7 linked regions of the Oryzias latipes genome follow. The main gene of each other region encodes a partner of the protein of the gene in region 2 in a complex. Links are inferred from orthologs where the notes say so. Each region holds a gene or a part of one and is shown on either strand. Other genes may lie near its edges. The genes, in order: nup85, nup98, nup214, nup160, nup107, nup188 and cetn3.

Region 1 (3,450 bases), on a different chromosome or scaffold from region 2:
ATTGAGCGCGTTCCCTTAGACACGGAGCGGAAAGCACTGAAGGTCCTCCGCATTTGTGAACAGAGGCAGATGTCGGAGCAAGGTTCTAAAAGACTCTTTATTCTGTAATCACCTTGGTTCCAGAAATACCATTCAAGTTGAACTTTCTTTCGTTGAGTTTGGCATTTGAAATGTGTTTTTTGTTTGTGATCCAGTACGGAGTATCTGTAAAATCATGGCCATGAGGGCCTTAAGAAACAACAGACTTGGCTCCGCCCTTTCCTGGAGCATCAGAGCCAAAGATGCAGCGTTTGCCACCCTCATCTCTGAAAGGTTGGCTTCTCTTTACAATCTGCACCTTTGTCTTTGATCATTGTTCTGTACATTTAACTTTTAGCTTCACCAGACGTCCAGAAATGGACGTTTTTCTGAGCCGCAGAGTTATTCAAGTTTTCCCTCCTTTTTTCTCAGCTTTTAGATGTAAATCAGTTAAATCACAAATGGTTCTCAAAGCTCTGTTTAATTTGTTGTATTTTTGTCAACCTTTATTGTGTATTCTAAACCTAAAAAGACATCACTGTTTGGTAGGGGTGTAACGGTACACAAAAATCTCAATTCGGTTCGGTTCAGAATTTCATAGGGCTCGGTTTGATATATTTTCTGTTTGTTTTTTTGGTACAAAAAGACAGAAAAAAAATTCTTGCAAAATGCGTTGATTGGTTTTATATAACAATAATAAAATTAATCTATGTAGGTGATCTGCTACATAAAATAATACAACTATTAGCTGTCAGGAACCAAGAACTTTGGATTTTAACACTGGCCTGAAAAAAAAACATTTCTTACCTTTTTTAATTGCGTTAACATATTAGATGCATTATCTGTGGCATATGCTATCTTCATGTAACAATAAAATGTCGAAACGCAGCATTCGACTTATCCAGTTGTCTTTTCCCACACACAAGAGCGTAAGGAGAAATGGGGGGGGGGTCCTTCAGCTCTGGCCTCGCGTCTGCATGATACTGTTGACACGCTCACTGTCAACTCCGTCACCTAATGGCTGTTGAACCTCCTGCAATGAGGTTTCTGAGGCGTAATCGGAAAACCCAGAGGAGATCCTCTACGCCGGAGGCAGAACAAAAAAAAACGTAAAACCGAAACGCTGCAAAAGTGATCCAAACAAAAATTGCCGTACCGAAACGGTTCAGTCCGACTACGTGTACCGTTACACCCCTACTGTTTGGGGAAATAAAACAAATTGACATCTTTCTGTTTTTGTGTCAGATTTTTACAGGATTACTGCGCCAAAGGGACCTTTTCTGATCTGGATTTGATCGACAACTTGGGTCCAGCCATGCTGCTAAGCGACAGGCTGACTTTTCTTGGTACACACTTAAAATACACTTGAATTGTTGTTCCTCCTCCTGCAGAACCTATGAATACTCATTGGGCAACAGCATTTTATTTTTCATTTCTAGGTAATTGTGGATAACGTTTGTCTGCTTGTTTAGGGAAGTACCGCGAGTTTCACAAGCTTTACGGGGAGAAGCGCTTCAAGGAGGCTGCAAAGCTGCTCCTCTCCCTCATGACGGCCAAGATTGCTCCTCGGAGCTTCTGGATGACCTTGCTGACTGATGCGCTGCCTCTGCTGGAGCAGAAAGAGGTCAGCTAACATCAAGTTTCCAGCTTTTGTGGAGCAGTTTTTACACTAAACAAAGAATAAAACCCAACTGAGATTTTCAGCCAAAGTTTTCTTCAAATGTTAAGTTGTATGGAGCCAAATCAGGGCCATTAAGATTTCAAACCCAAATAAAACAACTTGAAAATTCAAGCTAAAATATTGGTGTTAAGCTAAAAAAAAATTAAAGTGTCCGAAACTTTCTGCAATTCTAATAGAAACATAATTATTTTCACCTTCAAATTTTCTGTTTTTAAGTTTCAAAACTCAATTTGAGTTTCAAATCTTTTTTTCCACTTTCAGTTTCGAATCTTTTAGAAGTTTCAAACTGTGTTTTTTTATTCTATCACATATAAAATTCAATATAGGAATTTTCTGTCTGTAAAATCATGAAGTATTTGAATATTTTTGTTTGTAACACACTCTTTTAAATTATCCCATGAGCTTTTGTTTCGTTATTTTGTGAATCAAAAATCATTTCCTAATGACATTGTTGGTATTTAGCAGCCTTAAGCACCAAGCTGTAGATTGTTGCATTTTGATGCAAGAAAAGCTATAAGATATTGACAAAAGCGCCTTTTTAAATGTTTTTATTGGTTTATTTATTTTTTATAAAGGTGATCTTCTCAGCGGACCAAACCTATGAGTTGATGTTCTGTTTAGAGGAGCTCACTTCCTCACTGAACACTCCATCTTCAGACTCGGACAAATCCATGCAGGTACGAATTTCATCCTTTCCAGCCTCTGAAACTTTCATGTAACCTTTCAAAGTAAGAGTTTTTCCCTGTTTGGCTTTGTAAAGCAGCTTTTATTCCCTGTAAAATGTACATCTCTAAATGTTTGAAACTTTGTTTTTGAAGAAATATACTGGATTTGTGAATGGGAAGTTGATTTAAACACTTTATTATATCTATATTCGTTTAGGAGGAAGATGTAGAGTTGACCAAAGTGGAGCTCCTGAGACTCGCGCTATCAAGAAACTTGGCAATGGCCATAGTCAAAGAGGGAACGGTGGAAACATGAAGTACACCCCCTCATTCTTTTCCATGATGTACATAAAATCCAATAACTTTTGTGACTTTTGATAATAAAAAAATTCTCAACCTAAATCAGCTTTTTTATTCATAATGATGTACTTCAAAAGGGGAATATCAAACATCAATACTCTTTTATTTTCAAGCAGCAGACAGATGGCACATTACATTTCCATAATTTACAGTAAACAGACACATCTCACAATATTTACATCAAACACACTTCTGTACATCCGCTCCAACATGACTCGATACCCTTTTGCTCTCACATTTTGATATCCTAAGAAAACGTGTGTTGGACAAATTCTGCTCATGTTACAAGATGCATTCACTGCCAAACTGCACAGTAAAATATTTCAGTCTCAAAATAAAACCTTTCAAACTGCCAAAAAACAGAGCAAACCAAAATTCAGTGATTTAAAAACGCACATGAACATATACCTGAACATATACCAACAATGGGAGGAAAATCAGTGCTTTCATTCCAGGCTAAGGCTCTAACAAATGAAATCACTTTCCCCTCACATTTCATAAAATAAAAATATTTAAAAAAAACAAACAACTGAGTTTAAATGGCTCAATCTGAAGCAGTGAATTCATTGAGCTAGCAACAACAGCTAGTTGAACCCTGGAGAATCTAGAAAGAAATGCATTCTGGTTGAATATTTTCCTGAAACAATATGACACATTATTTGTACTTTTAAGAACTTTCACATGTCTACAGGTATGTAAACATTTTACAGGAAAAAATATTGCAAA
Region 2 (4,594 bases):
GGCATGTAATAGACAAGGGATTGGCGACCAAATATTAATATCTTACACTGATAATATTTGCTTCAGTATCAAAACGTTTGACTTGTGGTGAATCCATTTCAGGAAGCGCACGGTTTCTTTATGGGCGGTTGATCTTTTTAAATCACATAATAGGCTAAGAGGTAAAACATCAATAATACCAGGAGGAACTTTAACACAAATGTTGTGGTAGATGAATGATCTTTGAGGTTGAACAACACATTTTTTTTTTTTTTCATTCATCTTCTTGACCGTTTATTCCCTTTCGGGGTCACGGGGTTGCCGGAGCCTATCCCGGCCACTTGGGCGTAGGCAAGGGATACCCTGGACTGGTCGCCAGTCTGTCGCAGGGTAGAATATCCTCAATCACACATCCATTCACTCTAACACTCACACCTATGGACAATTTAGAGTTGCCAATCCACCTATGAAGCATGTTTTTGGATGGTGGGAGGAAGCCGGAGATCCCGGGGAAAACCCACGCATGCACGGGGAGAACATGCAAACTCCACTCAGAAAGGTCCCCCATTGATGTCGTGTTTTTCATGTCCCCCCAGCCGGGACTTGAACCGGGGGCCTTCTTGCTGTGAGGCAAGAGCGCTAACCACTGCGCCACCGTGCAGCCCAACAACAACAACACAACAACACATTTTTGCAGAGTAAAAAAAAAAAACATTTTGGCATAAAGGACATTTAAAGGAAATGTATATTTACTGTGTGATGTCTATAAGTAGATTATTTTGCCCAAATTTCATATTTTCACAAAAATCTCTTTTCCAAACACTACAAATTCTGTCTGTGACAGAAAAACATGTTTAGGTTACAAAGCAAGTGCTTCCTCACAAATAAAAATACAGACTAAAGAGGCAAATATGTATAAACTTGTGTGTTTGAATATGTAAACATTGAATATACTCACTTTGCTGACCAAAGGTAGAAGATGCCCCAAACCCTCCCGCCCCGCCACCAAACGGAGTACCAAAGGAGCTGTTGAACATGGTGTCCTGCTAACCGGACCTCATAAGTCCTGCAAACAAAGGAGAACGGGGAACATTCATCTGTGAAAGTATCATGTTAGTGAAAAAAAACCCATCATCACTGGAAGAGCAACTAAAAGATCTGCGTGATGTGCTCAGCAGAACTAACTTCACCTACTAGTGTAAGGCCTTAAAACTTGTAAACCCTTCTTGAGTTAACATTCCAAGTGCAAATGTAGATGCCAACTTTCCCTTTTTCTGTTTATTTATCACTAACTAAAGCTTGTAGTTTGCTGCAGCAGAGCAGAAAATTTATGTTCCTGTTTTTTTTAATACTTTCATCTCAGAGGATCCGTCTCCTGCTTCTTTGTATTTACCCTGAATCAGGTTAATCAGACTCGCAGGAGCCTGAGAACCGAGACCGGGCGCTCCTGTTCAAAAACAGTTAAAGCTTCAGTGCAGCAGCGTTCCTCGACATGGAGCAGCAGGACCCACCAACTCCTTTTCTGGATCAATCGAACACAACTGACTTCATTGACTGTCGGTATCAACCCTGTGCAGAGTTTCATGAGTCTGCTGGCCTGAGCAGCAAAAAATAAATAAACAAAAAACTTGCAAGAAGTGGACTTTTGATAAACAGGAGCTGAGAAACTCTGTAGCAACAGAATTCCACAAGATAACAAGCAAGGTGATTGAGAAAGATAAGGCCAGCTGGTAAACATGTTTCTAATGATAAGTTTAAAGGAGGAGGATGGCAGTAATGTACAAACACATCAGTATATAGCAAGTTCAGGATTGATTGAAAGATTGATGATCAAAAAACAATAGTGTTGGGTATAACAGGTTTTTCCATGGAACAACCTCCAACACTCACTACAGCTTCTGAATAGGAAGTACGTTGATGAAATTATCCTTTTGGTCAGTTTACCAGCCAGTCTATGTTCCCATCCACAACATTGACCGTGAGCTAAAGGGAAATAAGGGTCTACCGCTGCTCAATAAATCCTGGTCCTCATGATCTACCACCTTTCCAGTTGTCTCTGTTGTTTCTGTTGAATAGCCGAGTCAGACGTCTCCTCATTCTAGTTGTCAAAACACACCTGATCTAGGTAATCAGCAGCTAAAGGTGCAGGGAGAGCTGGAAAACGGCAGGGTGGTACTGACCTAGGACCAGCACCAGAGAGCATGAGGAGCATGAGTCATGTTAGCTTGATTAAAAAACGTTTTCAACACCTCAGGTTGATTCTACTGGGCACATTTAAAAGGCAACCTAGCAACAAAACTAAATACTTTATTGGCTTATGTTGAAATAAAACTCAAGTATGGAGACGAGGCAAGCAACCAGACTTATAAACTGGCACCGACCAAGTTAGTAAAAAACACACACAAACGTAGCGTAACCAGCTGATTTCACTCCGGGCTCCACGTGGAACACAACCTGGTCTACATGGAAGCTAAACCATTAATCTTTAAAAACAATACAAAACGTTGAACACTCGACGGAAAGAATTCCCAATCAGAACCAAAAGCTTCCTGATTCCGAGCCGGAGGAAACCAGTTGGACCTTAGCTAAAGCTAATACATCGATGCATTAGCAGCATCTTTCTGCTTTGGCTATCGATACTTTAGTTAGTTAGTCGCTTAAGTAAAGTTGTAAAACGCTCACCAACCCCCACAAAGGTGCTTACTCACTACCCAAAGTGTAAAAACTCATGTCCATGAAGTATGTCTTCACTCCCAGATGCTTTTAATGCAACTACGTCAAGCTAACATTAGCATGCTAACAAGCTAGCTTCCGTGCTAGCCGAGGGCTAGCAAAGTAAACGCAATTCCTAATCTTCAAACTAACAAGCTGGTTTAAAGTAATATATACCTTTAACGATCCAACGCTGTATGGAGCGCTCGGTCTGTGTGTCGACCAGTCTTCCACAGGACTACAGCCGCGGAGTTCAAAATGTTTGCCGGCTCGGAGCGGGTTTAGTTTACCTAAACACCAGCGCCGCAATGAGGAGGGAAACCGCGCTGTCAACCGCGAGCACGCACATTCATACGTCATTGCGTCGACGTAAGAAACGATGCGTTCAAAGACGCGCTTCTCGAAATCTAACAGCGATTGGTCGATCTGCCAAACCAAACCAGAAAGCAGTTTAGTTTGATCACCCGCTACTCCATCCCTCTGGACCATGCAAATATCCTTTACAAGAACAAATCTTTATTTTACAATAATTGGTATAATAATAATATCTTACTGGTGGGTCAGCTCTTTAACCACAATGATCAATTACTCAGGAAGAATTTAACCTTAAATATAACCTTGCTGTTCCTCCAATAGAGTATACCATTGTTTTTGATGCTGTTACTAATGAAACCTGTGAACTGTTTAAAAATACTGTACCTCATGGAAATATCTCCTTCTTATCTCTAAGTGACACCACTGTTGGAAAATCTTGCTTCAACTTTGGAAAAACAACAAAGTTATACGTGCTCTGTTTCAGCAAAATGTCATTTCTGTTCCCTATGCTGTCTCCTATTGGAGAAAATTTATTCCTGACTTGCGCTGGTAAAATATTTGGACCCTGCATCAGAAATTATTAATCAATAACAAGATGAGAGATGTCTCATACAGATTCCTACATAGAATCTTTCCCACTAATCAATAAATGTTAAAGACAATTGACCCCAACTGTACTCTTTGTAAAGGACACCCAGAAACAATTAGTCACCTATTTTAGAATTGTAACATTACTAAAATGTTTAAGAAAGAAAGTACATGTTTTATAAATCACAAATTTGACTCAAAATTGCAGATGTATTTTGTGACTCCCAATTTCAGATGAGGTGGCGCAGTGGTTAACGCTCTTGCCTCACAGCAAGAAGATTCCTGCTTCAATTCCTGGCTGGGGGACCTGAAACAGAACACCAATGAGGGACCTTTCTGTGTTTGCGTGTTCTCTGCATGCATGTGACGGTTTTCAGCGGGGACTCCGGCTTCCTCCTACCGTCCAATAACATGCTTCATAGGTTAACTGGTTACTCTAATTTGTCCTTGGGTGTGAATGTGAGTGTGCAACAGACTGGCGACCTTTCCAGGATGTCCCCTGCCTTCACCCACAAGTGGCCGGGATAGGCTCCAGCAGCCCCGTGATCCCGAAAAGGAACAACAGTTTAGAAGAATGAATTATGAAATTTTAATATATCATATTTGGCCTACACAAAAAGAACACAAAATCACACATACAATTGGCAATCAATGTAATTATTATATGTGGTTTCATATTCACAAATTAAGTTTTCTTCATTACAACGTTTTCCCTGTAATAATTAAAGAATAAGAACCTTATTTACATACTATTTCTAATAGTTTAAAAAAAAGCCATATTTTATTTATGAGAACTGTATAGTAATTTGTTTTGCAATATTTATTTTGTAATACAACCCCTGGCACTCTCATTGTTAAGACTACTGTTTTTGTCATGCAAAATTTTTCTGTGTTTTGAACAATAAAGCATTACAAAAACATGGACCATACAGGGTAACACGTCATTCATCACTAAACAAGACTGTTTGACAATGGGTCTTCATGTATGTCAACTTAATTC
Region 3 (3,813 bases), on a different chromosome or scaffold from region 2:
AAAAAGTCAAGTATAAAGATATTTAACTTTTATGTCAGTAATACAATAAAGGAGATTCCCTACAAATGCTTTCTTTTATTTTTATATTCTATAGTTTGAAATACCAATATTTTTAAAGGCTGCTAGATTCAACACCCCACAATGTGTGACACTTGTTTGGGACATTTCACTCATCCCTTTAGAGAGCAGAATGTTTTGGATACAACTGCACTGAGAAGGAATCTTTTTAGTTTCTTTGTTTTCAAGTTTCCGCAAGAGTTTCATTAGTTCAGCTCTTTCTCAAATGTTTTCTTTTTTCTCCTGGTAGATGTGGGAACTGTGGATCCTTGAAGATGCGGGTAGGGCTGAACTACGAGTGACCGAGTCAAATGAAGACACTCTGCCTCTTGGTTTGGCAATAGACTACACCAGCCAGCAGGAGATCTACATTAGTAAGTGCCTTTGACTGTCAACTTTCTGCTTTTCAAGTAAAAACATTTGATTCACAAAACGTCAGTTACATATCATATGAAGAAATTCATTTTTCTAAAAGCTTTAGAGAAGCTTGATGGTGTTCATCTTTCTTAACAGTGGGTGAACTTGAGTTATGTACATTTACCTGATTTTTAAAGACATTTCAATCTATTTTTTTCAAGTTTGTGCTGATGTTAATTGATCAGGTTTAAATTTAAATGTACAAAAAAAAAACTCTGCTTCAGTGGTTTAAGTTCTTAAGGACAAATAACGACTGCTGGAAATTCATGTGCAGTTAAATTAAATGTAAGTCCAAGCTTTGTGAAAATTGATTTTAAAAATATCAATTTAGTGGGGAAAAATTTGTCAGACTGGTAACAGCAGAACCGTTTGTCAGTTGGATATTTGGTTTCCTCTGCAGCTTTGATGTGGACTGATCAAAACATTCTAATCTGTTTAGCAGAAACAAATAAAACTGGATGAAGTTGTTCTATTGATTTTAATAGGAAATTTAACTTATGCAGATTCGTAACTGTTGAATAAAACAGACTTATATATTAGTTTTTTTACATCCTTTTTTGGTTTATTGCATTAACAGCATTTATTTTTGGATTGCTCGAGGTTAGTCGAGTAACCTTGAAGACAGATGTTGGTTAATACTTAGCCCTTTTGCTGCACAAATAGACAGACAAAAGTTAACTTTTGTTGAGTGTGTGTGAAATTAAAGTTTAGTTACTTTCAACTCTATCTATTATTATTCTTTTGTTTACCGTTGTATGTTTTGTATTTGTACTTTTCTATTGATCGGATTGAAGCTCAGTTCCATCAGGCTGCTTTGTGCATACAGCATTTACTGCAGTGCTGTATTGCAGCATGCGCAGAGAATAATGATCAGCTGCCGTCTCAGTGCACTCTTTTATCTTAACCGGCCAAGTCTGCCAGACATTCACGTAGAACTGCTGTTGCTGTCTAGTCACATCCCTCACTGCTCCCTCTGAGAACTCACTCTCCATCCCAAAAAGGAAAAGAATGCAGTTTGAGCAACAGTACACCACCAATGTAGTCTGTTCAAAATAAGGCTGTGTGTAAACAAAGCACAGGGCGTAATGGAAAAAACTCATTTGTACGCAAAACAAAAATTGTCTAATTAAAAATGGCTTGGGAACCATAACAAGCAACAAAGCTCAGACAACTGTGCTGCAGAATGCTGATGAGCTTTTCTCACACTTCTCTTTTTTTTATCATTAGTCTCCTCTCTTCTCAATTTGGCTTCAAACTTTGCTTTGACAACAAAAAAAGGGATTAATTGCTGTGCTGTATTTCAATAGGGGGGGGTACTTTGTCTGTAGAACAAAATAAACCTGAAACACTGAAAGAATTATTAAATGGGTGTGTTCAGTTTTCTCCTTCAGGGAGATGAAACCTGTAGCTCAACAGCCTTAGAACAAATCATGATTATGATGATCGAAAAAAAATCGGTCTTGAATAAGTTTAACTAATTGAACTTAAGTCCTTCCATCAACATAAAATCTACAAATGAAGGACCCACTTCAATGAAAATCATGATTTTGGTGTCTTTAACATGTTAGGTGGTGGGTGTGAGCACTAAAGAGAGCACATACAGAGATGAATGATGGGGAAGGGGGCGGGCTTTATCCATGCTAACAGTCCCGCCCACTACTCGGAGGTGAATTTCTAATGAATTCCTACCGCTCTGCAGAAGCTACGTGCTAGAAATTGACATAGGATTTTGGATTTTTGGCTCAAAACTGCATAATCATAATTAAAAGACAACTGGGAAGGCTTTTACAATAGAACAAAAGATGATCAGATAGAGACTTTAAATAAGTCACTGCACAGTCTAATATATGCCATTTGTGCTGTAGATGTTATTTCAATTCTTTAGATGAGATTTTGTCTCCAGCCCACAAGACACTGCAGGATTTTGGAAGTACAGGAAAGTGGGTGTGAGTGGTAGAAAGGTTTGAGGGTTTGGCACGAAGAGGAAGCCGGTGGGCTGTTTTCTGCCACTTCATGCATCTTTAGAATTGCGCTGTCCATATAAATGCAGATACATTTTTCAAACCAAATGCATTAAAGGCAAAGAAAAAGAAGTGGAAACACCCTAACGCACTAACATCTTTGTGCACATCCTGTAAGTATTTTTAAGCTCCATGTGACATAAAGCAGTTTGTGATCACAAACTGTGTGCACACATCACTTTTATTTCCCCTGTGAAGCTGTTTTTATTAACTGGAAATAGCATCGAGCAGGAAGTCAAATATTTTCTATGAGCCGTCTGTAAATGATTATTCCAAACTGAATCCTAATTAATGGACTTGACAGAATTTCCTGCCAGATAGCTTAAAAAAAGAAATTTCTGCTGCCTCTGATCAGCGGGAGGCTGCAATAAAAAAAAAAAAAGAATATTGATATCAAGGCATCAATTTTAAGCCAATTATTTGTTTTATTTTAATTTTTTTGTGTTGCTGAAAGGAGATTAACACTTTTAAAAGGGTTACTGTAGAAAACTAGTCATTGATTTTTGATACCTTCACTCGCCCACAGCCGATGAGAAGACCTTACCTCCAGCACCCACTCTGATGATGCTGTCCACAGAGGGATTGCTCTGCTCATTTGCTTTAGTCAACCAAAACCCTGGGGCCAAACAGCTTGTCTCACCCCCTACAATGCTGACCCCTGAAGGGGAGAGGCTACCAAAGCCAGGTGAGAAGGCTGTTATGGAGAGGGTTGCAGGTGTGAGTTTTGGTCATCCTCGTAAGTAGCAAAAAAAAAAAATTCAAAATTTTACAACTTGTTAATAGTCTGTTGCTTGATTTTAAATTGTTTGCGCAGAAAATCAAATGAAATTTTTCTTATCCTAACCATAAAGTGTAATCTAAAACTATGCAGTCTCCATTTATATTTTGTGAAAAGTGACTTTGTTTTTTTGTGGAATCAGATGACGAATACTTTTCTTTCTGTTCAAAGGTTCCGTGGCAACAGCACCAGCCAAGATTCCTGCTGCAGTTCCTTCTGCTCCACCTGCCTTCCCGAGCATCAGCCTCGCTTCTTCAGCAGCTGCGCCCAGTCCTCCAGTCTCTTCTGCTCCGTCCTCCATTATTCCTTTTAGCATGGCTCCAACGGCTCCTGTGACATCAGCCTTCTCCGGCTTTAGTTTCTCAGTCCCATCAACCTTCTCCACCACCTCTGCCCCAGTTGCAGCTTTCGCCTTGGGAGGATCTGTGCCTTTTGGCTCAGGGTCCTCTGGCTTCTCATTTGCCTCCAAACCTCCGTCTGAGACCCCGTCCGCACTCTCGGCGTTTTCGTTTAATTCCCCTTCCGGCAAACCACCAGCAG
Region 4 (3,754 bases), on a different chromosome or scaffold from region 2:
AGCACGCTCCACCCTCACCCCCGTCCTTCCAGAGTCCCAGCTGACTGTAGAACGGGAAACCCTTTCTGACACGCAGGTTCTGCGTCTTCTGGAAGACATGGGTCTGCCGGAGCTGGTGGTCCAGTTGGCCTCTCTGGCCGTCACAGAGGCGGGAGGGGGGGCGGTTAGGCAGGTAAGAGGTGATGGCCAGACTCCTGCTGGTTCTGATGGAAAGCTCCTCATGTGTGTGTGTGTGTGGGTGTGCAGGCCGCTCTGTGGACAAGGATGTTCAAGCACCATCTGGACCTGGGACACAACAGCGAGGCCTATGAAGCTCTGACCCAGAACCCAGACAGCAGCATGTATGTTCTCACAGAAGCAGATCTGTGCCGGCGCCGCTCAGGGCTTTCGAGGTTCTGACTGCATTTTGTTCACAGATCAGCTAATTTATAAAAAACAAACAAAGCAACAGATTGACTGATCATGTGACCTGTGAGGTTGCTAAAACCCTCATAAATGTGATCAAGAAGCCTGACGTTTCAGACGGAACCAATAAGAAAGTTCTGGAGCTGAGGCTTCCTGCCGTGTTCTGATCGGGGTTCCTTTGTGTCTTAGGCAGCTGGACTGTCTCCGTCAGCTGGTGGTGGTTCTGTGTGAGCGCTCCCAGCTTCGAGATTTGGTCCAGTTCCCCTACGTAAACCTGCACGACGAGGTGAGACTTGAATCAGAACCAGAACCACAGATGGTATCCTTGATCAGGTGGTTTACAGACCAAACTGGTTCTGCCGCCTGGACCTTTGCTCCACGCTGGATATTCTTCAGGGAAGTTCTGCGTCTCTGTGGTGGTTCTGAATGCAGTCATATGACCCTCAGGTGGTGAACATTATCGAGTCCCGGGCCCGAGGTCTGGACCTGTTGACCCACAACTACTACGAGCTGCTGTACGCCTTCCACATCGGCCGACACAACTACAGGAAAGGTGAGGCCGTGTACAGCACGCCACCCCCCACGCATCTGTTGGCCCCCCCCCCCCTCACTCTTCTGCTCTCTCAGCGGGGACGGTCATGTTCGAGTTTGGGATGCGTCTGGGCCGGGAGGTCCGGACCCGGCTGGGCCTCCAGAAGCAGGTGAACTGCTACCTGGCTGCTCTCAACTGTCTGAGACTCATTAGACCCGAGTACGCCTGGATCGTCCAGCCGGCCGCCAGCAGCGCGGTGAGCACGCAAATGTACACGCATGTTCACACACACACAGGTGTGCATACTAAAACCATCACATGATTTCTCTGGGTGCAGTGCAAGCGGGCGGGGGCATCGCCAAAGAGAAACTCAGACGGAGATATTCTTGGTGAACCAGGTGAGCCTGGCTTTGTGTGCGCGCGTTATTGTGCGCGTTATTGTGGGCGTTATTGTGCGTGTTATTGTGGGCGTTATTGTGCGTGTTATGGTGTGCGCCTGCATCTTTTGTGTGAGTGTAGCAGGAACATGTGTGGGTCCATAGGTGTCTGTGTTTGCAGCTACAGGGAGGCAGCAGGTGGACATCCTGGAGCTCCAGAATCTAGAAAAAGAGTACTTCCTGTCCCGCAGCCGCCTCACGTTGGCGCAGCACCACCCATCCTCTGCTGCAGTTGCAGGTATGTGTGGGAGGGAGACACACGTGACAAACCCGATTCATGAAGAACATGAGTCGCCCCACACTTGAGTCAGATTGTGTGGTTCTGATGGGTTCACCAGCCTGTTGGAACGTTTGAGGTGGATCCTGCAGGTCAGATCTCTGTTTCCAAGATGGCTCTGCGTCTCAGTTCAGGTTCTGTGTTTAGGCGCTGTGTCGGAGGCAGAACTCGTCACCCTCCTGGTCCAGAACGGGCTTTTTGACTCGGCGCTGTCTCTCTGTCACACCTTCAAGCTGGACCTAAGTCCGGTCTTTGAGGGACTAGCCTTCAAGTGAGTCCAGGAAACACTCTTGACCTTCCTTACATCTTCTCATCTCTTCACCTGCTTCTATGAAGTTAGGCTCCTCCTACATAGATATTTTTCAGTGGGTAGGGTGATCACTTAAATGTGGGAGGAGCTTAGGAGACCATAAACCCCTCTTGGTTTGTTCAGGTGCATTAAGCTGCAGTTGGGAGGGGAGGAGTCTCAGAATGAAGCCTGGAGCTGGTTGGCTGCTAATCATCTGTCTGTCATCAACACCAAGGAGTCCAGGTGAGGGATTGAGTGGGTGTTATGGCGGTGAGTTGACACACCTGTGACCCCGCCCCCTTCTCAGTGCTGCAGATGAGGCGTGGCGCCTGCTGGCCTCCTACCTGGACAGATATCCCTCCACGAATGGACAGCATCACCGCCTCGTCATCCACAAACTGCTGTCACATGGGGTGCCTCTGCCTGATTGGCTCATCCAGTCCTACAAGGTGAGAGTGGGCGGAGCTAGAAAGGTACGAGGTGGCTGGTGGTAAAAACTGACTGGGCTGTTTCACTGCAGCGTGCTGATGCCCCGTCTCTGCTGCGCCTGCTGCTGAACTTTGACCAGCTGGAGAGCGCCGCTGAGCTGGTGTTGGAGTACGTGGACGCAGTTTTAGGTCGTGGTCACCAATACTTTGGAATCCAGGTGAGAAGATGCAAACTTGGAAAGTTCCTCCAGTTCTTCTGAAAGTGAATTCCTGCCGTCTTCTCAGAACCCACTGTCTGCCACCTCCCACCCGGCGTGGCTGCCGTACACCGCCATCGACCAGCTGCTGCGCGCCTTGAGCGAGACGCAGACCCACAACACTGTAAGTCACTTCCCATGTCCACGAGAACCCGCCGTAGAGACGCCACAGACTCTAACGACCCTGTCTTTCAGCTCCACACCAGAGTCCAGGACAAACTGGACGAGTATCACAGAACCGTACGGCAACTGAGCGCGCTCAGACTCACCACGCAAAGACGGCAGATAACCACATGAGGCGCCGTCGCCTGATTGGTTTTGTAGTTGTTGTTGTTTATGAAAATAAAGTGTTTTTGTAACTGATGAGACTTTTCTTTGAAGGCACAAACACTCGTACCATGACAGACACAAAGTCCAACGTCTTTCCATCTTTACATTTCTGCTGGAGAAACACTGAGATTGATGAAAATGTTGGTGAACAGGAGGAAGGAGCAACTGGAAAGATCCAGAAAAGGTCTGGATTTCACAATAAACCACATCCCATCTTCATCCAGATTTTGAAGAAAAAGATCAATCTTGCTCTGAGGGCGACTGCATGAAACTTGAGGAGACTCAACCTGTCCAGGGGGGGGCACCAGATGGAATCCAGTGAAACAGCTGCCCAGGGATCGTCTACAAAGTGCATGCTCCAGAAAAAAAGGAATCTCTAAAATAGTTATCATGTTCATGCTACAGCAACGTTTTTCTTTTCAAAGAAGTCATTGTTTTGAGTTTTTAATCATTCCAAATAGAGATATGAGTCACTTTCATTGTCAAAAATGAAACTACAGGGGGCACTAGTGAGATGGAGAAGGATGTGTTTTCTGGGCTCCTTCATATTCATATTTCATGACTTTTCCTGATTTGATGGGGACAACTGATTAAGCATAAAATTATCATGGTGATATTTTTCTCAATGTGCTAAACACATATTGCATACATTGGTGTTTGAGCCCAGGCTGTTTTATCTGTGTAAAACATGTCTGTGTGTGAGACCAAACACCCCCACACTTACAGGTGCAGAGTTCATTTTTGAGTTGATGCCAAAATGAAGAAGTCAATGTAGGCTATTGAGTTGATCTCATCCAAA
Region 5 (4,335 bases), on a different chromosome or scaffold from region 2:
ACAAATGCAGAAGAACGCGGTTCTTTTATTCTGAAATCCCGCACCAGAGTCTGATCTGCGGGGTCCAGGTTCAAATCTGCGACCATCTGATGAATGACCTCTCTGTGCGGCCGTCGCCTCCAATCCTGCCACGCAGTGGGAAAAGTTTACCTGGGGTCTCCATCTTCCCCCGGGTCAAACAGACCCTCTGGCAGCGCTGGGGATCCGCCGGCGGGGGTCGATCCGGCCTCTTAGGTGACCAGGACCCGCTGCTGACCGTGAGAATCTCCTTTTCCGGTTCTCTGAACGGCGGAGATCTCCTTTTAACCGGACCACGAAGCGTCCGGTGTTCCTGCTTTAGCTGAGCTGCGTGAATCGATCACGCAACAGCGGCAGCTAACGGAGCGGAGGGCAGAGCACAAAGATGGTCTATTAGGAAAGACGTCTCACTCCGACCACAGCCGGGAATTGACAAGGGAAAAAACTCCTAATACATCCTTTTAAAAGCGTTTATCCGACACAATTCAACTTCTATGTAGGGAACATAAAGTGTATCTTAATGTATAAAAATATTTTTCAACATGTTTTTTTAAACGGAATTTTCAAATAATACACAATCTTTGAAATCAGACGTATTGAAACATTTTCCTTCCTGACATTACAATGTTCACTCTTGTTAAAAAAGACCCTTTTTTCTAAAAACTTCCTGTTTATTTAATATCAAAATTAGGCACAACTTTAAAGTCATTTAAAAAAAATGCAGGACAACTATTTGATTTGATTTAGATCAAATGCATCATATCATATGGTTAATGTGTTCTTTGTCATTCTGTTCTCTGGATGGAAGTTCAAATAACATCAGCTATTAAAATACAAGTTTAAACAGTTTGGAGTGTTTAAGAAAACCTTTTGTAACATAAAATCTGTACAACACACAAGGAACTCTGTCTTTCAGCAGCTGAACAGGCCAAAGAAATGAATGACTGAATAATCACTTAAAATGTAAATATGACACAATTACACAAATGTGAACTTTTTTAATCAAATAGTGGATCTGAATATCTATTTAACTAAATGAATAAATCTAAAAAACACAAAAAGGCAAATTGATACACAAAATTACAAATAATAGGATTACTGAAAGAAAAGTGAAAATTAAAAGATATGTATATGCTTAATTAATATTTAAATTAATATTTATATTGTCTTTTTTATTTCGTCCTCTCAAAAATAGATGTAATCTAATGGTGAACTCTAGGGGGCAGCAGTCAGCTGACAGGCCTGACAGATTTACCTTAAATTCAAAGGCAGATTCGTGAGAAGAGGCGAAGAAGTAAAAGACCAGAGAAGAAGAAAACATATCGGAGCGGGAATCGGCTCCAGCATGGACTGGTAAAACATTTTAAATTTTTGTGTCATTAATGTGACCAGCTGTGAAACACTGATACGTTCACATTTGTACGGTTCGATCGGTCAGTTTTTGCGTTTTTGTTGTCTCCGGGAAACGTTACAAGAGTCAGATTAGCAAACGATGCTAGCATCAAGCTAATCAGTCAGCTGAATGTCATGACGTCTGTTTAGTCAAAAATAATGAATGATAGGTTTAAAGACCCACTTAGGTTAAATTCTGATCTATTTTCAAAGCGTTCCCAGTGTTTTTATTTTTTTGATTGTGCTGTTTTTTTAGCCAAAAGACAAACACTTGTCGTTCTTGGACACAGTTATACTAGTAGTAGTATGTTCTTCTGCAGAGCGGCAGGAGTTAATTAAACTCCCTCAACTCAGGTGTACTAATGATTAGTACACCTGAGTTACACCTAACCCCACCCCCTTCCCGTCACCCATATTTGAGATCTCTCAGTTGTACAGTTTTGATCCAGATTCCAGCTCAGACGTGGAAAACAAAAACGTTCATGGATCAATTTTTGTCGGCAAATGGATTAAATTCAATTCAATTCAATTTTAAGGGGAAAACTCCCATAAAAACGGATTCCGGAAAAACGAAGAAACCTCAGGGGTGTCCACATGAAGGAGGGATCCTCCCCCAGGACGGACAGGCGATTTACCAGAACTCTTAGAGAAGAATTTACTTATCTAAATCTACAACTACACATTTAAAGTCCAGCAGACGAGCTTCATCCAGCCGTGGTTGGGGGGACAGTCAAAGGCGCGAGTCGAGTCAGAGGCAGGATCCACAGCCAGGTGTAGGAGCAGGAGCAAAGGCGAGGTAGACGGTCAGCAATTGGAGCACGGATGATCCAACTGGAGTCTGGAAGCACTCCCACTCCCCAGGAGGGGAGAGGAAAAGAGTGACAATACATGAATCACACTGCACCAAACAGAGGCATGGAGAACTAAATGATGAATAATGATCAAGAATAGAGGAGAGGAAGGGTAGAAGTAGAAGAGAAAAGAGGACAGAACCCCAGTGCACCATAGTTACCCCAGCTTCAACTTCTAGCAGCCTTTTAAAAGAAAGTTATTAAGTTTAATTTAAACAAATTAACATTAAGTTAAATAATCTCTGAATACTAACTAGTCTGACAATAAGCCTGTCCAAAGAGGAATGTTTTAAGTCTAACTTTGACTGTAGAAACTGAGTCGGCCTCTCTTCCATGAGCTGGGAGTTTATTCCATAAGACAGGGGCTTGGTGGCTAAACGCTCTACCTCCAACCGTACTTTTACTAATTCTAGGAACCACAAGCAGTCCTGCGTTTTGCGAACGAAGTGTTCTGATTGGGTGGTAAGGAACTATGAGATCTTTGATTTAGGACGGGGCCATTCCATGTAAGGCCTTATAGGTTAACAGGAGGATCTTGAACTTGATTCTATAATCAACTGGGAGCCAATGGAGCGAAACCAACACAGGAGTGATGTGATCTCTTGCATTCTCTTGCATTGGATGCATCAGAATGGAACTTGTGGCCCCAAACGGCATATTTGCTACATGATATTTATTATCTTTTTCATTTGGCGCTTTTTCGTCTGTTCCTGATTCACATTGAAATGAAACTAGGAGAAAATTGGCTTTTCAAGTAAGATAATGTATGTTTCTGTTTTGATCTCTCTGACCTCCAGGGGTCAGAATGAGCTTCCGTCTCCGGTGGTTCGAGAGGAGGAGGTGACGGTCGCAGCCAGGAGGAGGAAGAAAGTGGCTTGTATCCTCCAGCTTCAGTAGCTGTGTGTGTTTCTGTGCGTCTGTGTGTACAGTTATATGTCGGGACAGTTTCTTTGTTTCTCCTGACTCTTGGCCTCAGTCCCGTCACCCAGTGGTGGCAGCCCCATCGCTTCTGCTGCAACACCAGCCCGCCCCCACCTGATCAACACTCCTGCCTCGTTGTTCAGGCAGGCCGGTGAGATGCTCACATTCATGTCAGATCTGAGGCTTTGAGCTATTCCTACCTCATGTCTCTGCCTCTCAGTCACCCCCAGGGTTCCAGCCACTTCTTCTCTTTTGGTTCCTGGAGGTCGAACGCCTCGATTCATGCACACGCCCAGAAACGCGCTCAGCAGTCTGGTGAGACCCTGATTAATGTGCAGGGACAGCCGGGATCAGCTGCAGTCTGTAACTCAAACCCGTCCATTGCGTATCTAGAATTTGGACGACAGCGATTGGACCAACAGCTTTTACACCTCGCCCGTGTCTGGACTGGAGAACACCAGCTTCTTCAAAGACGATGCTGCCAACCTGAGCTCAGCCCTGCTCAAGGAGGACGATCCAGGAGATGCAGGTGAGGAAAACAAACCACTTTCATGCCTTCACATCACACGCCAATCGGGTGTCAAATTCGCTGCTCGAAGCTTGTCCTAAAATGTGTTTTTAAACCTGATGTGAAATTATGATGTGATGACAGTAAAAGACTGAATAATTGATGAGAAACGAAAAAGCCTCATTGTTGTTTGAGCAGCATCTCCAGGTACATTTCCCTCTAAAGAAGAAAGCGTATCATTTTTTAATAACCAACCTCTCCTGACTTTGCTTTCTCTGCAGCAGCTGCAAGTCTTTTCCCAGAATTCCTTGCCTCCTTTCTGAAGCACTCTTCCTCTGCGGTGTTTGACCTGTTGGAGGATTATCAGAGCCTCTGCCAGGAGAAGGTAGAGTAGAGCGATGCCTTTGAGCAGATCAGGTTCTGGACGTCACGCTGAGCGGCTCTGCGTCATGTTTTAGGTGAACGTTCTCCAGTCTGTGGTTCTGAGAGCCGGTCAGAACAGTAAAACAGCAGGAGTCCGCTGGCTGCTGCAGCAGGAGAACTGTACCTGGAGACTCATCGCCTCGCTTTACAGGTACCTGCCACTGCACCACAGCTCCTTTCCCCGTTTCATTTGACTCATCTACCGTCTGGTTCTGCAGGGAC
Region 6 (3,813 bases), on a different chromosome or scaffold from region 2:
AACACAACCTGTACTTCACCGAAGCTGCTCTGCATCTGCTGCTTACACTGGCTCGCACTCCTCAGGTAAGAAAAAACGCACACAGAGTACAAGTCGCTGTGACTTTGAGTTGTTTTCTGTTTTTGTGATCATTTTTAACCTGCACTATTTGTAATCCACCATCTGTCACCACTAGATGTCTCTGTTCCCTATTATCCTGACAGTTTTTTTGAGAAACTGTCAATCTTCATCTTTAGTTTTCTCTTTTTTGCTGTTGCTCTTGTGTTTTGTCCTCTTTGCTGATTTGTTAGCATTTTTTTCTTCCGCTGTGTTGAAACTTCCTGTTTTGCACCTGCAATTTAAATTCTGCTCATGACATTTCCTTTGTCTATTACGTCTAAAATGTTTTTGGTGGAGATGGAGACGTGAAAAACCCAAACTGTGTTTCAGTCTGTGTTTAATGTGAAAGAATCTCCGGAGGACTAACAACAGCAGCCGCAGTTCATCACTACAGCAGTTACACAACAGACTGTAAATCTTCTTAAATGATCAGAGCTTATTTAATTCTATCTAAATGACTGCAGGAGAAGGAAAATAAAAAGCTTTTGAGGATTTTGAATACATTTGGAATCGGAATGTCAGATTTAAGCTTTTGAAGTTCTCCTCCTTCTTTTTTTTTTGCTCTTCTTCAGGGAGCAGCGGCTGTAGCAGGAGCCGGAGTTACTGAGACCATCTGTCTTCCTCTTCTCAGTGTTTATGAAGGTCCATCAAATGGAGCCTCTCAGGTGGAATCCGTTATACATTCTTAGAGATTTTCGGGCCAAATCCAGTCGTTCTGAAAGTGTTGCTTCTGTTAGCAGAGCTTCTCCAGGAAGTCGCAGGATGTGGCCTGTTGGCCGGGCGTTTACCGCCTCTGCATGTCTTTGATGGAGAGTCTTCTCAAGACGCTGCGCTACCACTTCATTAATGAAGCCCTGGACTTTGTTGGAGTTCATCAAGAGCGCATCTTACAGGTACGATCGATCAGGACGATTCAGACCAGTGGTCCCAAACCCCCGTCCGTGGACCGGAACCGGTCTGTGGGACGGTTGGTACTGTGCCACAGAGAAAAATAACGCGACCTACAATCCCTCCTGTTTTTATTTATAATCTGACTCTGATGGAAGTTTTATTTTGGAAAACTACAGGATTCTCTCCACTATATCCGATTCATTCTTGACGAATGTCAAGTCGCTCAGTCACATGTCGAAATTCCCTCTTTCCTAAAGCGTCTGCGCCGACCGCTAAAGTGAAACCACCAAGCTAACAAAGTTGAGACAAATCGTTTTTGGAAAGTTTATTTTCGCAGGAAAGAGCCAAAAGGGAAACAGACGAAGAGCCTTTGACTTCAAAATAAAAGAAATCTACGTTAAACAGACAACCCCAGGAGTTTTTACTTGAAATGTGGATTTATTGCGACAGTTGTTTCAACACTCTATAGTAATGCTGAATATTCAGCAACCAGCTGTCTAATGTTATGAAGATGCTGCTAATAAAGATACTCAAACAGTGTAAGACAATTATTATTATATTTAGAAAACAACAGTTTTAGTTTTGTATTTATCCATTACACCTTAAAAGTCAGATTAGGCTGAGGTTGGCGTCTGATTTTATGTATTTTTTAAGCTTCTATTTCTACGCTAGATTTAATGTAGGAACTATTCAAGTTTAAAGCAGCTGCTGATATTTTACAGGGAATGAAGATAAACTTTACCTCAAAAGTTAAGTGAAACCGGAGGCTGTGAAAATTTTGTCTGACATTTAAACGGTCTGTGGCCTGAAAAAGGTTGGAGACCACTTCTCAGGTTCTCGTGTTTCAAACTTGTTCCGGCAAATCTGGATCCATGCATCCTTTTTGCTGAAGTCCTGTAGGATCCAGGGCGGTTTGGGTTTAAAGGCATGTCGGTTTCTCTTCCCTCAGTGTCTGAACTCCATGCGCACCGTTCAGAGCCTGGCCTGCTTGGACGAGGCGGATCACACGGTTGGTTTCCTCCTCCAACTGTCCAGTTTCTGTAAGGAGTGGCAGTTTCACCTCCCCAAGCTGCTCCTGGACGTGCAGGCGAGTCCACATTTCATCACACTTTCAGCAGGAGATATCATTCGGAGCTCATAAACGTTTTTTCCCCTTCTGTTTGTGTTCAGATCAACCTGTGTTACCTGTGCCAGACCTGCACATATCTGCTCCACAGCAAGAAGATGCTCCATCACTACCTGCAGGTCTGAACATCTAAGGATTGCTTAACATTTCATAAAAGATGCTTAATAAATGTCACATTTGTCGTATATCCCTACCAGAAACTTTGTGTACTTGACAGACAAAAAAAAGTCATGAGTTTGTGTTTTGTAGGCCAAGAATGGTGAGGCGTTGCCTCCTGGTCCCCTCTCCAGGACCCAGCGCCCCCCTCAGACTCAGGCAACAGCAGGGGCAGCGGGGGCAGAGGAAGCCGAGCAGAAGGCCCTGCTGACCGTGCAGTGCAGCCTTTTGAAGATCCTCAGCAAAACCCTGGCTGCTCTGCAGCACTTCACTCCCGACTGCTGCCAGATCCTCCTGGACCAGGTGAGACCGCTCAGATCCTCCGCTTTCCCCTCAGGCTCTCTACACATGTGATGCACGTTCACGATGGACTGTCATTACTTAGTACTAGCGCATAAACCTACAGTGGGAAGACGCTTGGCGTCGAAGCGGTGCAAATCTAGTGAGTCTAGCTCCAGGCTTTTTTTTTCCCTCAGCTCTATCCAGATACAGGAAAGACTTGGTGTCATAGAATTCTGGCTGGGCAAAAACTGCTATTATTAATTTCTCCTTCATGATGAATTTAAAAACGGTTGGCACTTCTGTGACTCAAAAAGGACGCCATCCATTCGTCATGACCACAAATGTCCCCGATTGGTCAAAGTTCATCAGGTTTTACGTGGAAGCCCAAATTGCGCATATATGCACATTTACACAGACCTCTCATTGAAGGCACAGTACAATGAACGTAGCTTTACATGAGCGGAATATGTGCTCGACTATTTACTAAGCCACTTCTGCATCAGTGCATGGACCTGGCCGAGTACCGGACCCTGTTTGTGCTCAGCTTCACGACTCCGGCCTTTGACCCCGATGTGGCGCCTTCATTTGGGACCCTGCTGGCTACGATCAACGTGGCGCTCAGCATGCTGAGCGAGGTACTCTTCACATTTTTGTTGCAGGTTTTAGCTGCAGGCAGTCCTTGAGCGTTTTATGTTCTGTCTGGACAGATGGAGAAGAAGAAGGAGACGGCTTCGGTCAGCATAGCATCGCTGGCTTCATCCGAAGAGCTCCAAGCTCTGAAGTGAGTCAACTCCTTTCTGTAGTCAAGCAGCATGCGGTAGTGCACCAAAAGACGCTTTCTTTCCCCCCTAAGGTCACTGCTGATGTTCACCATGGAGAACTGCTTCTACGTGCTCATCTCTCAGGCTGTCCGGTGTCTCAAAGACCCCTCCATCCTCCCGCGGGACAAACAGAGGCTCAAGCAGGAGCTCAGCTCAGAACTGGTGAGGGCTTTGAAAGTTCAAAGATGGGATTTTAAATGAGTAATATGCAGACTATAGAACAATTGGAGGATTAGTAGCACAAAAAACATTTTTCATTCTAGTTTTCTACATCGTTTAGTACAAAAAATTAGATCTTTGCAGGTACAGATGTCATCTTTTACTCAAATGTTGACTTGCTGGCAAAACATAAGAAAAAGCAGGAAATCTTTGGTCAAAATGCTTTTATTTGATGTGCTACTGTTTACCAACACAGAATGTTGAAGGGGTGCAAATCTC
Region 7 (4,483 bases), on a different chromosome or scaffold from region 2:
GCCTGAACCTTACCCCCCCCCCCCCCCACTGCTAAATGTGCACACCTGTATACGTGCACGCCTGCACACGTGCACACATCCCTTTGGGTTCTTTAGAAAGCCTCCTCTATGACGCTGGCTAAATACCTGTGCCCCCCCCCCCCCATGAATTCTCAGACTGAGTTGGGGGTGGGGTGGGGGGTAAAAACAGGAGGGCTGGCTGGAAATCAAACACAGATCCTCCTTCAGCTGAACAGAAAGGAGAATGTTCTGCCTCCAGAATCCTCCTCCAGTCAATCATCGCAGTGAAACTTCAGAGGCTCCAGTAGGAAATTCATCAGGAGGAGTTTTTTTTATGCTGTTATTTTCATTCCGTCACAAACTACTGCCTGTTGTTGTTGTTACCACCTGTTTTTTTGTATTTTTTTCTGACTTAGACTCTGCTGAGCTTGAATCTCTCCTGAGGCGACATGGTTTTTCACTCAGGCGTTATCTAGGATGACACATGTGACACAGGAAACGCCCCGACGTGAGCCGAGACCGGGCGGCACCTTCATCCCGGAGCACCATGGGAAATCCCTGATAAAACTGAGACAAAGCCCAAATCAGGGGTGGGGGCACAAAGACCCTCGGGAAATGCTCCAAGCATTTCCAGAGGGTAGAAACCTCCGGCAGGATTCCAGAGAGAAGGACGACTGTTCAACAAGCCAGGACCATTATGGGTTACATGCCTTTAATGTTGACAGACAGACATCAGACATAACAGGACCGTTGACCAATGTTTATGAGGAAAACTTGTCATCAGTTCAGAGTAACAAGTTACAACAAATAAAGGGTGTGCTGAACTGTTGGAGGACAAAGTCTAATATTTAGGTGTTTTTAACATGTTCTTGATGATGGAGGACCATGTATGAAGAAAATTAAGCGCAAATTTTCATTTGTTGTGAATCAGGAGCAGACTAAAAAAATGCAGTTTAAAAAAGAAAAAAATGTGCTGGGCGGTGCCACAAGCTCCGTGCTGCGCTCCATTCCGATGCATTCACTGTCAGACAAATAGATCCATAAACATCTCTGTTTTCCTGGTCTGAGCTGGAGTCTGAACTGGACGAATGGACGGATCTGATGAGGCTGCCATTTTTGTTGCACCAGTAATGTTGGGGGGGTTGGGGGGGGGGCTGTTAGATAGCAGGAAAGAGTGTAAACAAAGGAATCATGGGAAATTAGACAGGCTTACTGTGTGCCAATGGCCACAACTCAGAGGAGAACCTCTGATGAACTCCTGTGGATCTGCAGAAACTGTCCTGTAAAACTGTCCACAGGAAGGGAAATAGATCAAAAGATGGCCGGAATGTGTCTTAAAGTTATCTGGATTATTCTTTTGTGAATCACAAACTGATTTTCTATTTAAAGTTTTTCTACATTTTATTTGACTTTGAAAAGGATTCCAGCGTCAGTATTAGCAGATGTAGCAATGACAGACGACAGCAGGGGGCGCTGGTGTCCCGCTTGGGTTCAGTTTGCTCCCGAAGAAAAAAAAACAGAGCGCCACTAAGCGAGCGCCTTGCTGTTGCCTAGAGACCACCGACCAATGAGGACCTCGGATCTGAGCGCGGACACGCGGGGTTTGTTTTTGCTCGTTGAGCGACAGTAGCCGTTCCTTGGAAGTGAAATCTTCGCGTTTGGATCTGCAATTCGATCGCAATGAGTCTGTCTCTGAGGTGAGGATCGCAGCTTTTACGGTGACGTCATTTCCGGTTCTCTCGCCTTGTTAGCCGACGTTAGCATGTCGCCCGTTTGCCTCAAACATTCAGAGCTTGTTGACCGGAGACTCGGTCAAAGGGCTGCGTCGGTCCAAACGGTCCAAATGTGTGTCTGTCAAAGGGTTCGGTTCGGTGGAGCTGTCTCTGAATCAATCTGAGCTTGGCTGAAGACGTTGCACCGAAATTCTGTGACCTCTCAGGTTCTGTCCTCGGTAGATAATATTTCACCTGATTTGGACTTTCCGGGACCAAAAGCTCGTTTCGGGGAATGAGTTCTTTTATTTTGAAATAACGTTTGTTTTTCCACCATATTTGGTCAAAGGTTCTCCAAATAAACCTGTTGTGACGTCAATGTGACAGAAAAATATCAGAAATAGGATTCTGTGGTTTGTGGTCAAATACTACGATAAGACTAAATGGGTCTGGGTTCTTATTGGCTCAAATCTGATCGGAGATCTCTGAGTTGGTTGAAGCAGGTTTCTCTCTCGGCTCAGAGTTTGCCGTCAGTCTTCTCCTGCCTTCATGTCTGTTCCTGACTGATGAAGATGTTCAAACTCTTGTTTTTTTGTCTTCGTCCATCCTTCACGGTTGAACGGCGAGGTTCAAGCTCTGGTTTGTGGTCACAGGGAGAATCTGTGACTCTGGTTTTGCTCCGCAGAACCGACCAGGCCGACAAAAACAAGCCTAATAAGAGGAGGGAGCTCACCGAGGAGCAGAAGCACGAGGTCAAGGAGGCCTTCGACCTGTTTGACACGGACAAGGACCGACAGATCGATTATCACGAGCTGAAGGTGAGCGGCGGCGGATCGGATGGAAACCGTGGAAACGAGACCAAAGGTGTCATCTGTCACGGTCCCACCAGGTGGCGATGCGCGCCCTGGGCTTTGAAGTGAAGAAGATGGACGTCCTGAAGATCCTGAAGGACTACGACAGAGACGGGAACAGGAAGATCACCTTTGAGGACTTCAGTGAAGTAGGTGAGTCACTGGCCTCCTCTTCCTCAGAGCCAGGCGACGAGGAGCCGCCCTGAAACGCGTCTGCCCGCAGTGACGGACCGCATCCTGGAGCGGGACCCGAAGGAGGAGGTCCTGAAGGCCTTCAAGCTGTTCGACGACGACGAGTCCGGGAGGATCAGCCTGAGGAACCTGAGGAGGGTCGCCCGAGAGCTCGGCGAGGACATCAACGACGAAGAGCTGCGCAGCATGATCGACGAGTTCGACACCGACAGAGACGGAGAGAGTAAGTCTGCATTCGCTCAGGTTAAAGCCACGCCCCCTTCACCGGATGACACGTGTTCTGTCGTTGCCGCGGAGATGAGGGTCAACAGCCTGTACTTATGTAGCTCTTATGCAGGTCTAACGCGTTTTAAGGTCACTCTGAAGGCGGCAGAGCTGCCATGACAACAGAGGGGCAAGGTGGGGGTTCAGTCTCTCGCTCAAGGTCACTTCAACGCATAAACCTGCGACCTCCTGATCGTAGGTGGACCGCTCTTCTCCCGGTGCGGCTCCTGCTTTAGAAATCCCATCGCTCTCTGACCTCCATGGCAGGAAGGTTCTGGCGTTCCCGCTCCGAGGTCGCCGGTGATTGGGCGGAGAGCGCGGCTCCTCCCCTCACGGTTTCCTCAGCTGACCTGTTCCAGAGTTTTAGCGACCCGAAGGCCCGTACACACCGGGACGAATATTCGCCAGGCGTTATTCGCCAGCGTTTTTCTCCACGTTTTTTGTGTTCACACCCAGGCGATTTTCGCTGACGATGAGCCGAGCGAACATGCAATTTCATTCCCTGACATTAGATGGCGCTTAATGTAAACAGAAATACTCCTGTACACAAGGTGGCGCTGCGCAACTTTACGCTTCTTAAAGTCGCTTTTCACTCAGAAGAAGAGAGCAAGTATTTACACGCTTGTCAGAATCAAACAAAGAAAACATTAATATTTCAAGCATCAGTAGCTCCAACTGGTGCTTGGTTCGGGGATATTTTAGAATGTCCGTCATTATTGCTTCGCGGCTGTGTAGACGCTACTTGGCGTCTATCTTCTTCGCTGGTATGTGTGCTCAGCAAGGCAGTTTTGTGTTTGAGCGCCCCCAAGTTGTGTTTTACTGTAACTTCAGAAGCTCCAGACACGTGAGCAAAAGCGCCATTCTCATTGGTCGAATAGATTTCGATGCGACGCGTCGAAAAAAAAAAAACGAACCCGAGGCGTTTTTTTTTTTTGACGCTTTAACGCATGGCGTTTTTTCGCGTCGGTGTGCACACTCTCGTTGGTGCCCTTTGTTTAGTCACGAGGCGTTTCGCCGACGAAATTCGTCCCGGTGTGAACAGGCCTTGAGAGTCTGAGCAGACCGGTGTTTCCTCAGTAAACCAGGAGGAGTTCCTCGCCATCATGACCGCAGACTCCTGAGGAGGAGCCCGGAACGCCTTCTGAGCTGGACCCAGACGTTTCTCCACAGAGCCAGTGGACGCCCCCTCAGAGCCCGTGAGTCTGAATCCCGCTGGACATGAGAAGACTTTCCAACAGTAAAAACTGGACTGACTTTCTGTAAAGATCAAGATTTAAGTCGATCTTGACTTTTGAACTGTTTGTGTGAGTGTTTTATTTATTTTTCATAAAATAAAGAGTGTTTTCCCCAACAAAGTTCTTCCTAATAGTTCAGAATTTCCGCCGCGGGTTCAGAACCCGACAAACCCTCAGTGTGGCTCCTCTGGAGCTCAGCCGCTCTGTGACGCTGCAGCTGTTTTACCCT

Evidence for each region.
Region 1: nup98 (region 2) and nup85 share a complex: the UniProt entries of both Homo sapiens proteins name them as parts of the nuclear pore complex. The link is inferred for Oryzias latipes from reciprocal best matches to the Homo sapiens genes NUP98 and NUP85.
Region 3: nup98 (region 2) and nup214 share a complex: the UniProt entries of both Homo sapiens proteins name them as parts of the nuclear pore complex. The link is inferred for Oryzias latipes from reciprocal best matches to the Homo sapiens genes NUP98 and NUP214.
Region 4: nup98 (region 2) and nup160 share a complex: the UniProt entries of both Homo sapiens proteins name them as parts of the nuclear pore complex. The link is inferred for Oryzias latipes from reciprocal best matches to the Homo sapiens genes NUP98 and NUP160.
Region 5: nup98 (region 2) and nup107 share a complex: the UniProt entries of both Homo sapiens proteins name them as parts of the nuclear pore complex. The link is inferred for Oryzias latipes from reciprocal best matches to the Homo sapiens genes NUP98 and NUP107.
Region 6: nup98 (region 2) and nup188 share a complex: the UniProt entries of both Homo sapiens proteins name them as parts of the nuclear pore complex. The link is inferred for Oryzias latipes from reciprocal best matches to the Homo sapiens genes NUP98 and NUP188.
Region 7: nup98 (region 2) and cetn3 share a complex: the UniProt entries of both Homo sapiens proteins name them as parts of the nuclear pore complex. The link is inferred for Oryzias latipes from reciprocal best matches to the Homo sapiens genes NUP98 and CETN3.

The regions. Positions count from the first base shown.
Region 1 is NC_019866.2:13,014,211-13,017,660, reverse strand, and holds the end of nup85 (nuclear pore complex protein Nup85), read left to right. Parts: coding exon 1-82; intron 83-194; coding exon 195-312; intron 313-1,263; coding exon 1,264-1,364; intron 1,365-1,490; coding exon 1,491-1,642; intron 1,643-2,274; coding exon 2,275-2,376; intron 2,377-2,581; coding exon 2,582-2,680; 3' UTR 2,681-2,766; downstream 2,767-3,450. UniProt on the Homo sapiens protein: Essential component of the nuclear pore complex (NPC) that seems to be required for NPC assembly and maintenance. As part of the NPC Nup107-160 subcomplex plays a role in RNA export and in tethering NUP96/Nup98 and NUP153 to the nucleus.
Region 2 is NC_019872.2:23,886,107-23,890,700, forward strand, and holds the start of nup98 (nuclear pore complex protein Nup98-Nup96), read right to left. Parts: upstream 3,019-4,594; 5' UTR 2,869-3,018; intron 1,046-2,868; 5' UTR 1,017-1,045; coding exon 938-1,016; intron 1-937. UniProt on the Homo sapiens protein: Plays a role in the nuclear pore complex (NPC) assembly and/or maintenance. NUP98 and NUP96 are involved in the bidirectional transport across the NPC. May anchor NUP153 and TPR to the NPC.
Region 3 is NC_019870.2:10,694,247-10,698,059, reverse strand, and holds part of nup214 (nuclear pore complex protein Nup214), read left to right. Parts: intron 1-307; coding exon 308-431; intron 432-3,021; coding exon 3,022-3,231; intron 3,232-3,444; coding exon 3,445-3,813. UniProt on the Homo sapiens protein: Part of the nuclear pore complex. Has a critical role in nucleocytoplasmic transport.
Region 4 is NC_019864.2:4,345,097-4,348,850, forward strand, and holds the end of nup160 (nuclear pore complex protein Nup160), read left to right. Parts: intron 1-76; coding exon 77-172; intron 173-246; coding exon 247-341; intron 342-594; coding exon 595-691; intron 692-852; coding exon 853-958; intron 959-1,032; coding exon 1,033-1,193; intron 1,194-1,274; coding exon 1,275-1,335; intron 1,336-1,495; coding exon 1,496-1,612; intron 1,613-1,798; coding exon 1,799-1,922; intron 1,923-2,084; coding exon 2,085-2,183; intron 2,184-2,247; coding exon 2,248-2,389; intron 2,390-2,460; coding exon 2,461-2,586; intron 2,587-2,653; coding exon 2,654-2,749; intron 2,750-2,820; coding exon 2,821-2,922; 3' UTR 2,923-2,988; downstream 2,989-3,754. UniProt on the Homo sapiens protein: Functions as a component of the nuclear pore complex (NPC). Involved in poly(A)+ RNA transport.
Region 5 is NC_019881.2:22,230,383-22,234,717, reverse strand, and holds the start of nup107 (nuclear pore complex protein Nup107), read left to right. Parts: upstream 1-1,268; 5' UTR 1,269-1,363; coding exon 1,364-1,371; intron 1,372-3,058; coding exon 3,059-3,138; intron 3,139-3,237; coding exon 3,238-3,333; intron 3,334-3,402; coding exon 3,403-3,497; intron 3,498-3,575; coding exon 3,576-3,711; intron 3,712-3,971; coding exon 3,972-4,075; intron 4,076-4,148; coding exon 4,149-4,264; intron 4,265-4,331; coding exon 4,332-4,335. UniProt on the Homo sapiens protein: Plays a role in the nuclear pore complex (NPC) assembly and/or maintenance. Required for the assembly of peripheral proteins into the NPC. May anchor NUP62 to the NPC. Involved in nephrogenesis.
Region 6 is NC_019870.2:8,149,495-8,153,307, forward strand, and holds part of nup188 (nucleoporin NUP188 homolog), read left to right. Parts: coding exon 1-65; intron 66-671; coding exon 672-764; intron 765-839; coding exon 840-992; intron 993-1,939; coding exon 1,940-2,077; intron 2,078-2,160; coding exon 2,161-2,235; intron 2,236-2,365; coding exon 2,366-2,575; intron 2,576-3,057; coding exon 3,058-3,189; intron 3,190-3,261; coding exon 3,262-3,335; intron 3,336-3,407; coding exon 3,408-3,537; intron 3,538-3,743; exon of another isoform or gene 3,744-3,813. UniProt on the Homo sapiens protein: Component of the nuclear pore complex (NPC), a complex required for the trafficking across the nuclear envelope. Required for proper protein transport into the nucleus.
Region 7 is NC_019870.2:1,965,789-1,970,271, forward strand, and holds cetn3 (centrin-3), read left to right. Parts: upstream 1-1,531; 5' UTR 1,532-1,680; coding exon 1,681-1,697; intron 1,698-2,397; coding exon 2,398-2,530; intron 2,531-2,601; coding exon 2,602-2,716; intron 2,717-2,786; coding exon 2,787-2,978; intron 2,979-4,096; coding exon 4,097-4,140; 3' UTR 4,141-4,374; downstream 4,375-4,483. UniProt on the Homo sapiens protein: Plays a fundamental role in microtubule-organizing center structure and function. As a component of the TREX-2 complex, involved in the export of mRNAs to the cytoplasm through the nuclear pores.